2 linked regions of the Caenorhabditis elegans genome follow. The protein of the gene in region 1 interacts with the protein of each later gene in a biochemical or structural test. Each region holds a gene or a part of one and is shown on either strand. Other genes may lie near its edges. The genes, in order: mes-6 and mes-2.

What was found.
Region 2: the proteins of mes-6 (region 1) and mes-2 form a complex in vitro, tested with the Caenorhabditis elegans proteins (2 studies listed by BioGRID, with this or other methods).

What each region holds. Positions count from the first base shown.
Region 1 is NC_003282.8:8,509,275-8,514,034, reverse strand, and holds mes-6 (Polycomb protein mes-6), read right to left. Parts: upstream 2,752-4,760; 5' UTR 2,599-2,751; coding exon 2,404-2,598; intron 2,350-2,403; coding exon 2,119-2,349; intron 2,079-2,118; coding exon 1,905-2,078; intron 1,861-1,904; coding exon 1,676-1,860; intron 1,493-1,675; coding exon 1,412-1,492; intron 1,334-1,411; coding exon 974-1,333; intron 863-973; coding exon 709-862; 3' UTR 613-708; downstream 1-612. Other genes in the region: cks-1 (Cyclin-dependent kinases regulatory subunit), read right to left, coding at 1-85; C09G4.4 (uncharacterized protein), read right to left, coding at 269-395, 448-502, 558-612; FYVE, RhoGEF and PH domain-containing protein tag-77, read left to right, coding at 3,495-3,636, 4,634-4,760. UniProt on the Caenorhabditis elegans protein: Polycomb group (PcG) protein. PcG proteins act by forming multiprotein complexes, which are required to maintain the transcriptionally repressive state of homeotic genes throughout development.
Region 2 is NC_003280.10:14,381,892-14,389,031, reverse strand, and holds mes-2 (Histone-lysine N-methyltransferase mes-2), read right to left. Parts: upstream 5,060-7,140; 5' UTR 5,057-5,059; coding exon 4,390-5,056; intron 4,007-4,389; coding exon 3,438-4,006; intron 2,996-3,437; coding exon 2,847-2,995; intron 2,803-2,846; coding exon 2,585-2,802; intron 2,165-2,584; coding exon 1,972-2,164; intron 1,707-1,971; coding exon 1,474-1,706; intron 1,258-1,473; coding exon 1,047-1,257; intron 815-1,046; coding exon 733-814; 3' UTR 578-732; downstream 1-577. Other genes in the region: F26H11.8 (uncharacterized protein), read right to left, coding at 208-412, 464-519; sdz-26 (SKN-1 Dependent Zygotic transcript), read right to left, coding at 5,723-5,878, 5,929-6,210, 6,261-6,446, 6,500-6,679, 6,736-7,020. UniProt on the Caenorhabditis elegans protein: Polycomb group (PcG) protein. Catalytic subunit of a the mes-2/mes-3/mes-6 complex, which methylates 'Lys-27' of histone H3, leading to transcriptional repression of the affected target genes.

The sequences.
Region 1 (4,760 bases):
CCTTGGTGACATGAACGTGACGGTACTCGAACTCATCATCTTCGTATTTGTTTGAATAGTAGAAATCATTGTTTCCAGTTGTCATTTTGTTGGTTGGCGTGAGAAGGTGCGACTCTGAAATAATTCATTTTATTAACAAGCATCGGGAAATAGAAACGGACAAAAATAAGGAAAGAATAAAAAATATTGAAAAAAAAGAGAAGAATGGGAATGAGACAAGAGTGAGAATGGTGAGGAACACTGCATGTACAGACAAATCGATAAATGCTCATTGCTGACGCTGTCTGAATTGATCGATAACATCAACAGAGTCGAGTTTCCCGCGTGTTTCAAAATACTCGTCCTTTGACATTGGAATTTGACAGTGCTTGGTTGACCCAGCAGAGGAAGATGATCTGAAATAAAAAAGGTAATAACATGAAAGCTAATAAAATTTTCAAAACTCACTGAACATTCAAAAACGTCTTCTTTTTGTCACTTTGTAAGTTGCTGTCGACTGTCACTGAATTAGAAAAATTAGATAATCAGAAAACGAAAATAATCTCTTCGAAACTCACACATAAAGCTATGTTTAGGTGAAGAATAATCCTTAGAGGAGGTTGGGGATGACATTAGGAACTGCAAAATTGTAATGTAAAATCCACTGAAGATGATCGAAGATGAAATCACAACGAGATATAAAAAATTGAAGGTGAGAAGGAATGATATTCAAAATTTTGCCAGGTCCTTAGCGTCGACAGACGCAGATACACGATCAAATCGACAAACAAATCCTTCGTCAGTTACTAGTACTAGGAATCGGCCACATGTAGAGAAAGAAGCTTGCCGAACTGTACGTGAGCCAACGGAACAAGTGTGAGTCCTGTAAAAAAAAAAACAGGAATTTATACTGGTAATCACAGCAAAAATATTTCTATAATTTTTAAGAGATATCGAACATCTCAGAAATTATTTTTCTTGATATTTTACTTACGGATTGGTTTCTTCATTATTTCTCAAATCGAAAAACATCACAGAACCACCAGCTCCACCGCACACCAGCCATCGTCTTCTTGGATCAACGGCGAATTTGATAAACCATGCAGAACCACTCGGAACATTCATTGTACGAAATTTCGTTGTACACGACTTTGGACGGAGAACATTTCCATGAATGCGATTTTCAACTTCTCCCTTAGGTGGCCCAAATCTCCAAAAATGAATTGCCTTTTCATTGCCACATCCTTTTGATAGTGCGTAGTTAGTACCGATAAGAAATCGAATGCAATCCACATAATCAGAATGCATATCAGTTGATACGGAGGATGGAGTATAAATTGGAAGAAGGCAGCTCCTGAAAAAGAAGAAAACGATAGAACCAGATTCGTTGAAACAACTTTAAAAAAGTAATGGATGCCGAAAATCAACGTACGGTCGGGGTATGAGCTCTCTGTGAAGTTCGAGCAATTGATCTTCTTCTTTGTCGGGAATGTTGCGAGAAACTGCAGACTTTCTAAAAATACAAAAATGAATTACATTATGATTTGATAGCCCTGGTCTCTTTATTTACCAGTCTTTTATCCAAAACTCAAGTTTCAAAAATATTTTTATATACAACAACAGCAACAATTTTCGCGTTAAGGACTGATCAAATACTAGAAGGAACTAGAAAATGTTAGCTGAATAATTGATTTACCTCATTGTTCCTTTCGAAACATACGGAATATCTTGTGATTGTGTTAGCACATTTATTTTATCTTGGTGAAGAGCTTTGCACGCTCGTTCCAAATGTTCCTTTACTTGTTTCACAGATAAATCCCACTCCATGAGTTGATGATCGAATCCACACGATAAAATGAAGTCTCCGTCGGTTGACCAATCCTAAAATGAGAAATTCGAAACGTAAGTAAATTTAATAAACCAACCACAGAAAGAATTGTTCCAGCATGACACTCGAGACCCCCAATAACAATCAGACATGCTTCGTTTCGAATATGATGAATCCGGATAGATTGATCTGATGAAGCACAGACAATCAGATTTGAGTTGGCAGGACACGTACGAATGTCATTGATTTCCCATCCAACACTCCGAAGACGCTAAAACTCCAAATTATTTCAGTAATTTTTGATTATTTACATTCGACAGCTTCCTCGAGACGTAGTCGATAACGTAAATGTGACCCAAAGTTCCACCCGTTACAACTTTAAAGGGATTTCGGTCGTTTTCAGCTTCATATGTGTCGTAACACCAGGTAACAGTGAAGAGCGACTCCTCTCGTTCGACCTTTGATGATTTATCGGTAGGAAAATTACAAGACCACTGCAGCTCAATGTTATTTATGTCGATGGGAACAGAATACATGTGAAGCTGAAAAACAAATATTTATACCTCATTGTCAGTTTCCTGCTAAATAACGCTTACAAAGCTTCCTCCGACAGTTGCAACCGCTTGTTCCTCATCTATTCCTGCGTATTGATTGAATGCACATCCGTAAATAGCTTTCTTCTGATCTTCAAGTAGCTTGGCAGTTAGTACAAAAGGTCGTTTTCCGTAATCCTCTGTACTTCGATCAAACCCGTGAAGATTTAATGATTTGAACTTTTTCGTGTGCTCCATTCAGGTTTTTGGGAAAAAGGCAAGAAACAATATATAACAAAATAAAAACTTCACAGTAAAAACATAAAAAAGTCGATTAACTATCAAATTTGCAGTGAAAAAGGAAAAAAATGACAATAAAAACAACAGAAAAACTAAAATATGGCCGCTCGCGCGCATTTCTCGTTCAAATTGCATTAGTGGTGAAAAGCGCGGCGAGACCCAACGAGCGCATAACCTCATGCACCTTTAAAGTGTTATTTTTTTATTACAATTTTTTGTTCTCATTTTGGATTCTGTTCGAAAGTTCCGGGAGGTATTTGTGATTTCGATTGGGAATATGATAGAAAAGACAGTTGCCAGCTTAAATTTTGTATTGTCGTGAAGTACCACTTCCAATTTCGGAGTGGATTCGAACGGGATTAAGTAGATTTTGTACTCGGCTTTTTTCGCAAGGAGCGAAACTAATAATTTTGTATATTTTTTTTGTATGATCCTATATTGCTACGTGAGCTATTGTCAGTTAAAAAAAATGTTTTTGTGGTCTTTTTCAGATTTCAGAGCGATCAACTTGGGGGTATTCATTCATATTTATTATTTAGTAAAATTGTCCTTATATCAAAAGATCCACTTTGTGAATTCCGTAGACTTCTTTCATTTTTGCTATTTCGAATTTGTCTTCGTCGGCTGCTGACTCATCCATATCCCTGCGTCTCCAATGCCTGATTCTCTGCGTCTTGTGTGATTTTTTGTTGCTTCAACCTGTTCTTCTAGCGGTTGCCTTTTTCTCATGCTGTGACTGTTCCCGTTCATTACTAATTCTTAATTTCATAATATTTTAGTGTTATCGTTTTTTCTTCAATTTTTTAGCCAAAATGTTATCTCGAACGAGCTATAGTTATTTTCAGATCGCCTGTATGAAATATGACATGAACCATCGCAAAAATTCTGATGATACTCCACCGGCGTCTAGGACCGTCAAAGAAATGATGGCAGAGTTTCAAAATAAACTGGACGACGGAGACAACAGATTCCGGAAGCAACCACCACCGCCACCTTGTGAGTCTGAAACAGAGAAGACGTCTTGTATTTACTGTCGACAATTGATTGAGGCGTAGCAAAAAACTTCGTTTGCTTTGTTATCTGTGGAGAAAATAAAAGTTACGAAATTTCTTGAAAAAAAAAACTAAAAAATAATTTTTTTAAAAACTATTTATGTCTGTATTTATTGATAATAACTAAATAGATCATATGATCATAGTATTGAAAAAGAGAGAACCGAAAATCGGGTTGACAATGATTCTGTGAGTTAAAAAAAACAGTCAATTTTTCGAAAAAAAAATCTGCCTTAAACTCCACCAACAGTGAATCGAATTAATTTTTAAAGGAAATTAAGTTCTCATTTCAATTTATATATTCGTTGTTAGAATCTAGACGAAAATTCATAAATATTTTGTTACTATCATTTTTTTTTCTATTAACTTTTACAATATCGTAGAACAACTGATTTCCGTGTTAAAATTGTTTTTTGACTGTTCTTCTTCCTATTGCTTTTTGTTAACGAAAAATGCCCAATTTTCTTCAAAGTTCCTATCAAATCTGTACAGACGCGTGACCGATTGCGAAAGTAGTCAAAAAGAAGTATAAAGGCTTTTCGCAATATTGTTTGCCTAAAGGTGCCACTTGACAGATTTTACTCCTTTGTCGCCAAGAAGTGTACTAGTAATAAATTTTAGAAAATTGGGTTGTGTCCTTATATTAATTACTTGGATTATCGCCAACATTTGATTAAAATAGTCATTCTTGTGTGAACACTTGCCAAAAATATATTCACTATTTAACTTCTGTTGGTATTATTGTTCCACCCCCCGGAAGTGACCAATTTTCCGTCTGCCACTGTGTGTGCCTAGTGGTATGACTCATTTATTGAAAGAAAAACAATTATTTTATCATCTCTCAAAATGAGTGAAGCAGATACAATTACAGCAATTAGATAGTTTAAATATACCTATGAGGTTAACAGATTGGAAGATTCATTTTTAAAACAATTTTGCAGCCCCAAGACGAGCTCCACCACCGCCTCCTCATCGGAAACCTGCATCATTATCTCCACCTCCAGACGATGAGAATACAATTCGACCGCCGTCTTCTTCAGAATCGTCCGAAAATATTCCTGAAGAACC
Region 2 (7,140 bases), on another chromosome or scaffold:
ATGATGAGGAAGACGAGGACGACGACGAAGAAGACGATGAAGATGTGGAGGAGGATGGACAAGAAGCAGAAGCTCTCCGATTCAAAGTTTTCGGGCAAAATTCTCCATTTGGATTCACCTCGCAATCGTGATGAATTTTCCACGCGATGAACTTGTCCAGGTACACATTTCTATAATTGGAATTTTTCTATAATATTTGGAACATTTTTATCTCTGACAACCCGGATGCAATGGGGCCTGCCTACAATCGACGCCTTTTCTCTGTCTTCCCTGGATTTTGGATCTCGCTGCAAACTTTCTCGCAGCTTTCGGAATGCCAAGCTTCACGCAAATCTCGTACGTTGGATCGATCTGGCAAAATGTTTTGAGTTTCTCAGGAATTACGGCCGGTGGTTCGATTAAGCTTCTGCTACTGGAATTTTTGTCATTTTCAGATTTTCCTGCAGAAAAAAATCCAACTTACGTTTCCGAAGCCTCCAGCAGCATGGGAAATAAGAAAAATAAGAAGAAAATCACCATCTTTAAGGAAGAAGTGAAAAAATTGTGCTGTGTCGGGCGATTTTATAGGAGGAATTTTGATTCGATTATATTTATGGTTTTCAGAAATTTGAAGGAAGGAAAATGTATTCAGAAACATGAGATTCTAGGGAAATAACAGTTAAACAAGTAGATCTTGAGATTTGAAAGTGATATCAACGGGAAAAATTTAAGAAAAAAAGTCAAGAAAAAAGATTATTCAGAAGTCATTGGTTTGGAGAGTTTCTGGCTTTTGGGCCTGCTGGGCTTCTCGGATCTCTCCTTGGTTTGGACCATCCTGGAAAAAGTTTATTCAAAAAGTCAAGTTGAAAGTCTACACAAAACTGGTTCTCGAAGCGACCGAAAATTTGCAGCTACCGTAACCAACCACAATTTTCTACGGCTTATCATGATTTTTTTGATCCAAAAAAATCTTTGTGTTATAAATTTTTAAAAATTGAGTGGAAAAAACTAGAGGGTACGGTAGCTGCAGTCGTCTCGAGACCCGAAAAGCTTTTTGCAAAATCTACCTGAACGCTATCTGATGTTCTCCAGAATAACTGTAGTCAAATGTGAGCTCTTCACTAATCTCAAGCCGTCTCTTCGCATAGAACCCAATTCGGTGCTCTCCGGCGACAACCATCGTTCTCGCGTAGCACGTCGGATTCTTGCTGTCATGATTGGCAAATCGTGCCAAGTTTCCAATTTTGTACGAATCGATCGCACCCCCGGTTTCAATGTCTGCAAAAATATTTTTTTTTGTTCCGAAAAATTGAATTTTCAAAAAAAAAGAAAACTTTTGATGGTTTTTTTTTTCGATATTTTGTTAATTTTTTGAAATAATTTTTTCTTATTTATTTGATTTTCAAAAAATCGAAATGTTGTCTCTAAAAACCCAAAAAAAATTTAAATTTAAAACATTTTTCTGCGACACCGTGATCTAAAAAAAGTACATACTAAAAATGTAGCTGCACTGATATCGATCATATATCGCACCGCGTCGTTCGGCTTCATCATCGGAAATTCGTTCACCAGTGTATTCCGTAATGAACTCGTCTTTTTCGGCGGGTTCCAACAAGAAAAGTCCATTGCCTGCTATTTTCGATGGCCCGCAATACGTTCGTTTTTGGATCATTCTAGTCATTCCAAAATTGCGGCATTTTATTATGTTCGAGTCGATGGCGTCGCATCTGAATTTGTTTTTAAATTGAGAATTTTCAGGTACAAAATTCGATTTTTCTGTGCTATTTTGATTTTATATACCTTTTTTTAAATTTGGGATTTTGATTGAAGATTTTTAATGGACATTTGGTCCTTCTTTTTCGAGAAATTTTCAGTTCGATCAATTTTTTTTGGAAAGTTTAATTTTTTCCTTTCTTAAAATTTCCATTTCTGGAAGTTCTGAAAAATTAAAGCTTACTAAAAAAACTTTTCAAAAAATTCCTGTGCACTCACTTGCACATATTACACGTCATCGGATTACATTCCCAATTGGCTCGATAGCACTGGCAAGCCTTCGTGTAGCACTGACCGGCGGCGCAATTGCATCCCGGGAATCGCTGAGAACAGTTTATATCGCATTTGCACATGTACGAGCACACTCCGTTTTCACGACATGCACAATTTTCGGCTGTCGCGTTGCATGGGCCTGAAATGTTTAAAAATTAATTTTCAATTAATGGGGTTATTAATGCGATGTAGTAAAATGTGCAAAAATGTGTTTTCATTCATTTGTGTCCAATAAATACATGTGTGTCCAATAAATACAAAAAAATATTCGTTTTCTGCATTTTTCGACATCGGTCGACAGCCCACTTCACATGCTGAAGGCGAGAGACGCAGAGAGATATGCACCCGCGGGTTTTCTCTGCGTGTCTCGCCTTCAGCATGAGAAGTGGGATGTCGCCCAATGTCGAAAAATGCAGGAAATGCCGAAAAATGTCGAAAAATGCAAAAAATTAATGCTACATTGTTCGATGCACATGGGTAGGTGAAAAATGTATAAAAACAAATTATTGCATTTTTCTACATTTCACGAATAACCCCATAATTGTTTTCCATTCCTCACCCGCATGTCGACACGCTGTGATTGGCGTCACCGCGGTCATGCGAACTTTCTCGCTATTTCGCTGAGAATCACGCATATCATCTTCTCGAATCAATTTTTCCGCATCCAGACCATCTCTCAATGCTTGAATACGCAGACTGTCGTGACGCAGCTTACGCTTCGCCTTCTCCTGACTCAACTGATTACGACGGAAGTTGTTGACTCGATCCTTGATACTTCTGAAACAATTCAATTTTTTATATAAAAAATCGCGTCAACTGACAATCTATTCGACGGTTGTCCCATTTTAAGTCGTCGGGCGCTCACATTTTCTGCCATCGACATCATTAGATGATATGCGTCACGACATGAACGAATTTTGCTTTCCTCGTCGTCTTCGTCGACATATTTTTTGACAAACTCGCAGAATGGCTGAGAATGGATTTTTTGCATTTTAAGCTATAAAGCTCGATTTTGCACCCTTTTTTCCTATTTTTCGCTATTTTTTGTTTAAAATAGTTTGATTTACATAATATACAAACTCTTAAACGCAAAATGAAAAACAAAATAACGAAAAAGGTGCAAAATCAAGCTTTATAGCTTTAAAAAAAAGAGAAAACTTGCGAGAAATTAATTTCACTGGAAATATAATTTTTCAATAAAAATGTTTCGGAGGGATCATCTCAGACCTCCAACTATCGCATGACACTATTTTTATTCCGAATTCAGGAATAGTTTTTGAACTCTTCCCTTGTTAGAAAAATTATTGAAAATTTAAAATTACAGTACTCTTCAAAGACGCACGCCTTTTCGCATTTAACAAAAATTTGTCGCGTCGAGGCCAGGTTTTGGCGCAAAAATCGCGTACTCTTACAATATATGTATTGAACACGTAAATGTTCACAATGAGCGCTCCATCTTCAATCGGCATCTTTGCAATTCTTGATTTCATGAAATAAATCTTCACTTCTTTCTGCAGAATTTCTTCAGAATCCGGCACAAGAACTTCTGAAACTTCTTTCATCGTCACCGATTTCCAGCAATTTCCAGAACACATCTTTCCATCATTTTCCGGGTTATTTGGCAGCGGAAGCATCGCATTATAGAATTCACCATTCGGAAACTCGATTGGAATTTCGGCTTTGAATCCGTGAATCGCACATGTATATGCGAGGCACGCGTAACACGTCGGATTTCGAAGATTTTGAGCACCTTCAGCGATTTTTGTCTTCTTCCATGGTTCGAGGCTCGACGGATCGAATCCTTTTTCAGCAAAGTTCTCGCACAAAACGGGAAAAGCCGACGAAAATTCTCTCTGTGAACTTTTGTTTGGCCATAGACGGTAGAGGGTGTAGTAGAATACGTCTGGGCTGCCTTGGTAGTCTTTGAGCGCAGCACGGCATAGTTTGTAGAGTATCCAATCATTGACATAGGACCAGTTGTCTGAAAAATTTAACATCAATTCGCTTAAAAAATACCTGGAGCTAAGGATTTGCAAGATTGTCCCGAGGTTTGATGCATGTCGATTTATGAAACATTTAGAACTACACGTGGACAAGTGGGAACTTGTTTTTCGCATTTTTCACTTTCAAGGCTATTTTTTAAAACTAATTTTGTGTTTGACATTCAAAATGACATTAATTGAAATAAAATTTCAAAAAAATTTTACGGCGATTTCTCACTGAAAAGTGAGAAATTAGGCAATTTGAATGTAAAATGTAAAAATAAATAGAAATAATGGTACCTTCGTCCCGCCTGTTTTTTTTTCGATTTTTGGGGGTTTCTCAGAGAAAATGGAAAAAATCCGGTATTTTGCAATTTCTCACCCGAAAATCCATGAATTCCATCTGGGAACATATCAATCAAATGCTCATAGATATTCCCATCGTCAATACCATCGCCAAAATACGGCATATGCGTGAGCCGCAGCTGATCCGGAGTCGCCACACTTTGCTCGATTGGAACCCAGTATATCATTGGCGGGGAAATGTCGCCAACCTCGATACGTGAACACGGAGCACGAAACTTCTTCATCAAATCTCCTTCCTCCGTTCGATCCGGTTTGATCCATGTAACTGTGGAATCGGAGACTTTGTAGTCGTTTTCTTCGTATTTTTCACAGTTTTTGAATGAAAATTTTGCGATAGTTCTGCCCTCTCCTAAATTTTCTTGCAGCCTTCTGCGATATTCATTAACACTGCTGCTCGCATCCTTCAACCAATCTTTGATGTCTGTGTCCAGCTCGTCTTTTACTCGAATGTCATAGTCATCTTTGATAGCATTGAAGTGGCCTTTAAGCATACGTTTACATTCTTCAATTCCTTGTTCGCACACGGTCTCCTTGATTTTTTCAGATGAAAAAATTGGCTGAATTTTCACAAAGCGAGGCAAATTTTTCGATTTCTTCGATTTTCCCATAGAAGTTTCGCACTTTTTCCCGCGCTTCTTTGTTTTTCCTGAGGGAGTTGATGTGCTGGGCTCTGAGTTGCTCATTCTGAAAGAATATTGCGTTTTAAAAAGGGAGAAAATTGTATTAAGACGAAAAAGACGAGAGAATAAATCGAAAACAAACAATTTTTAATTTTTAAAAACATTGCAAGTGTTGCGTGCAATCGCGCCCTATTGATAATGTGAAGTTGGCGCGAAGGTTTGGAATTTGAATCTGACAAGGAAAACCAAATGCTTTTTGCAAAATATGTTACCCAGGCGCGAAGTTCTGCCATTTTTATGCTAAAAATACGGTGCCAGGTCTCAACACAGCAATTTTTTGTTAAATGCGAAAATATATGCACCCTTTAAAAAAGTACATAAAAGTCAAATTTTCGTGGCCGCGGAGTTTTCATCGAATTTTTTCCGATCGCAATATATTAAAAAGCTTATATTAAATATAGAAAAAAAATCAATAAATTTTCGAAAAAAGGATTTAGGAAAACCTACTTATAAAAAAATCGATGAAAATTCCTGAGAGTTTGCAATTATGTCTTTAAAGGCACACACCTTTTTGCATTTAACCAAAATTGGTTTTGGTGAGACCGGGTACCGTAATATTTGCAAAATTTTGCATACTAACTATTACTAGTAAGGCTGAATAATTCCAAGAACAATTTTATTTGAACTTTGGAAAAATTACAAAAAAAATTTTTAAGAAAATTAAATCTATTATTGACGCGGTTCCATGCTCCGAATCTTCACCAGTAGCTCATTGATCTCTTCAGTTCGATATGGAAGATTCAGTAGAGTATTCTCCACCGCAAACTCGACAAATCGCTCCCGTGAAATATTGCAATTCAGTAGCAACTCAACGGCTCCGTGAACCTGAAAAATATTATTTTGAAAATAGAGAAAAACATCAGAGGTAAACTCACAAATCCATCGTCTTGCTTCAAGAATCCCATCATCAAAGACATGAGCACTGGCCATGCTTCTTCTCCTTCTTCCATTCCGTTCACAGCTTTTTTCACCTCCCGGAAAGCTTCAATATGCTGGGAATTCAATGTGGACTCCTCAATTAGCTCGATCTCATCAAATAGTTGTGAAGCAGCTGAGATCTTACGAGGAAGAGCTCGGATCAGTGATTGGATCTCGTATTTTCTGTAAAGTGCCAGTGGAAACCGGTGCTCTTGGTGGTGGATTATGGCTCTTGTGATCTGAAATATCATATTATAATTTAAATTGTAAAAATTAATCTATAACTCACCACTCGTCGATTCCCAGTCTTAATTGATTGCACCAGGTGCACCATGAGAACTTCCCAAAGGGCCCACTCATAATTCTCCATCATTTTGTAGTGCCCTTCCTCTTGATCACCATGCAAGTGGAGATTATCGAGAAGTTTTGGGAGCAGCTCTGTCTGATCGAAATTATCCATTTCGAGATTTGGGATCTAAAATGGAAAATTAATAGTTACCCTAAACTTTTCTTTGAAAAAAAACATGCATCTTGATCCAGCAACGACTCGTCTGACAGCTCCCGTCGCAATTGTTCAATTTTTCGCACCAACTCGTCTGCTTCAACAAATCTGTACTGGAACTGAGCAGCAGTCTCGTGCACTCTATAGTACTCGAAATCCGCAAGTGATAGCTCCAATGCACCGAGAAGTTTGAAGGCACATTTTACCTGAAAACCATAATTGTTTTTGAATTCCCGCTGAAATTAGTGACCATTTAACTTACAAGAGCCAAATCATCGAAACACATCATATCAGTGAGAAGCTTCAAAACATGGTCCGGGACAAATGTTCCACCAAAATCGTACAATGTTCCGTATGTGAAATACTTTACAATTTTGGCCTTTTCCCTTTGCATGCTTGCGTTCCTCCATTTTCTGATCCTTCTGGCAAAGTCGGTGGCCGGCGCTAAGTTCGGGACAAATTGATCGATCAGACATGCGATGTTGCACTTGTCCAGGATTTCGACGGTAAAGGGGACTTCCGGCAACGTTTTCAAGACTTCTTGGATCTGAAATTTCATATTTGGATTTTGAGTATATGTAGTAGTTAGCAGGGCTGTGCGGCTGTCGGCTTCAGCCGATAACCCAATTTTTCTACAAGCCGCACAGCCCCGGAAGGTAGGGCTAAA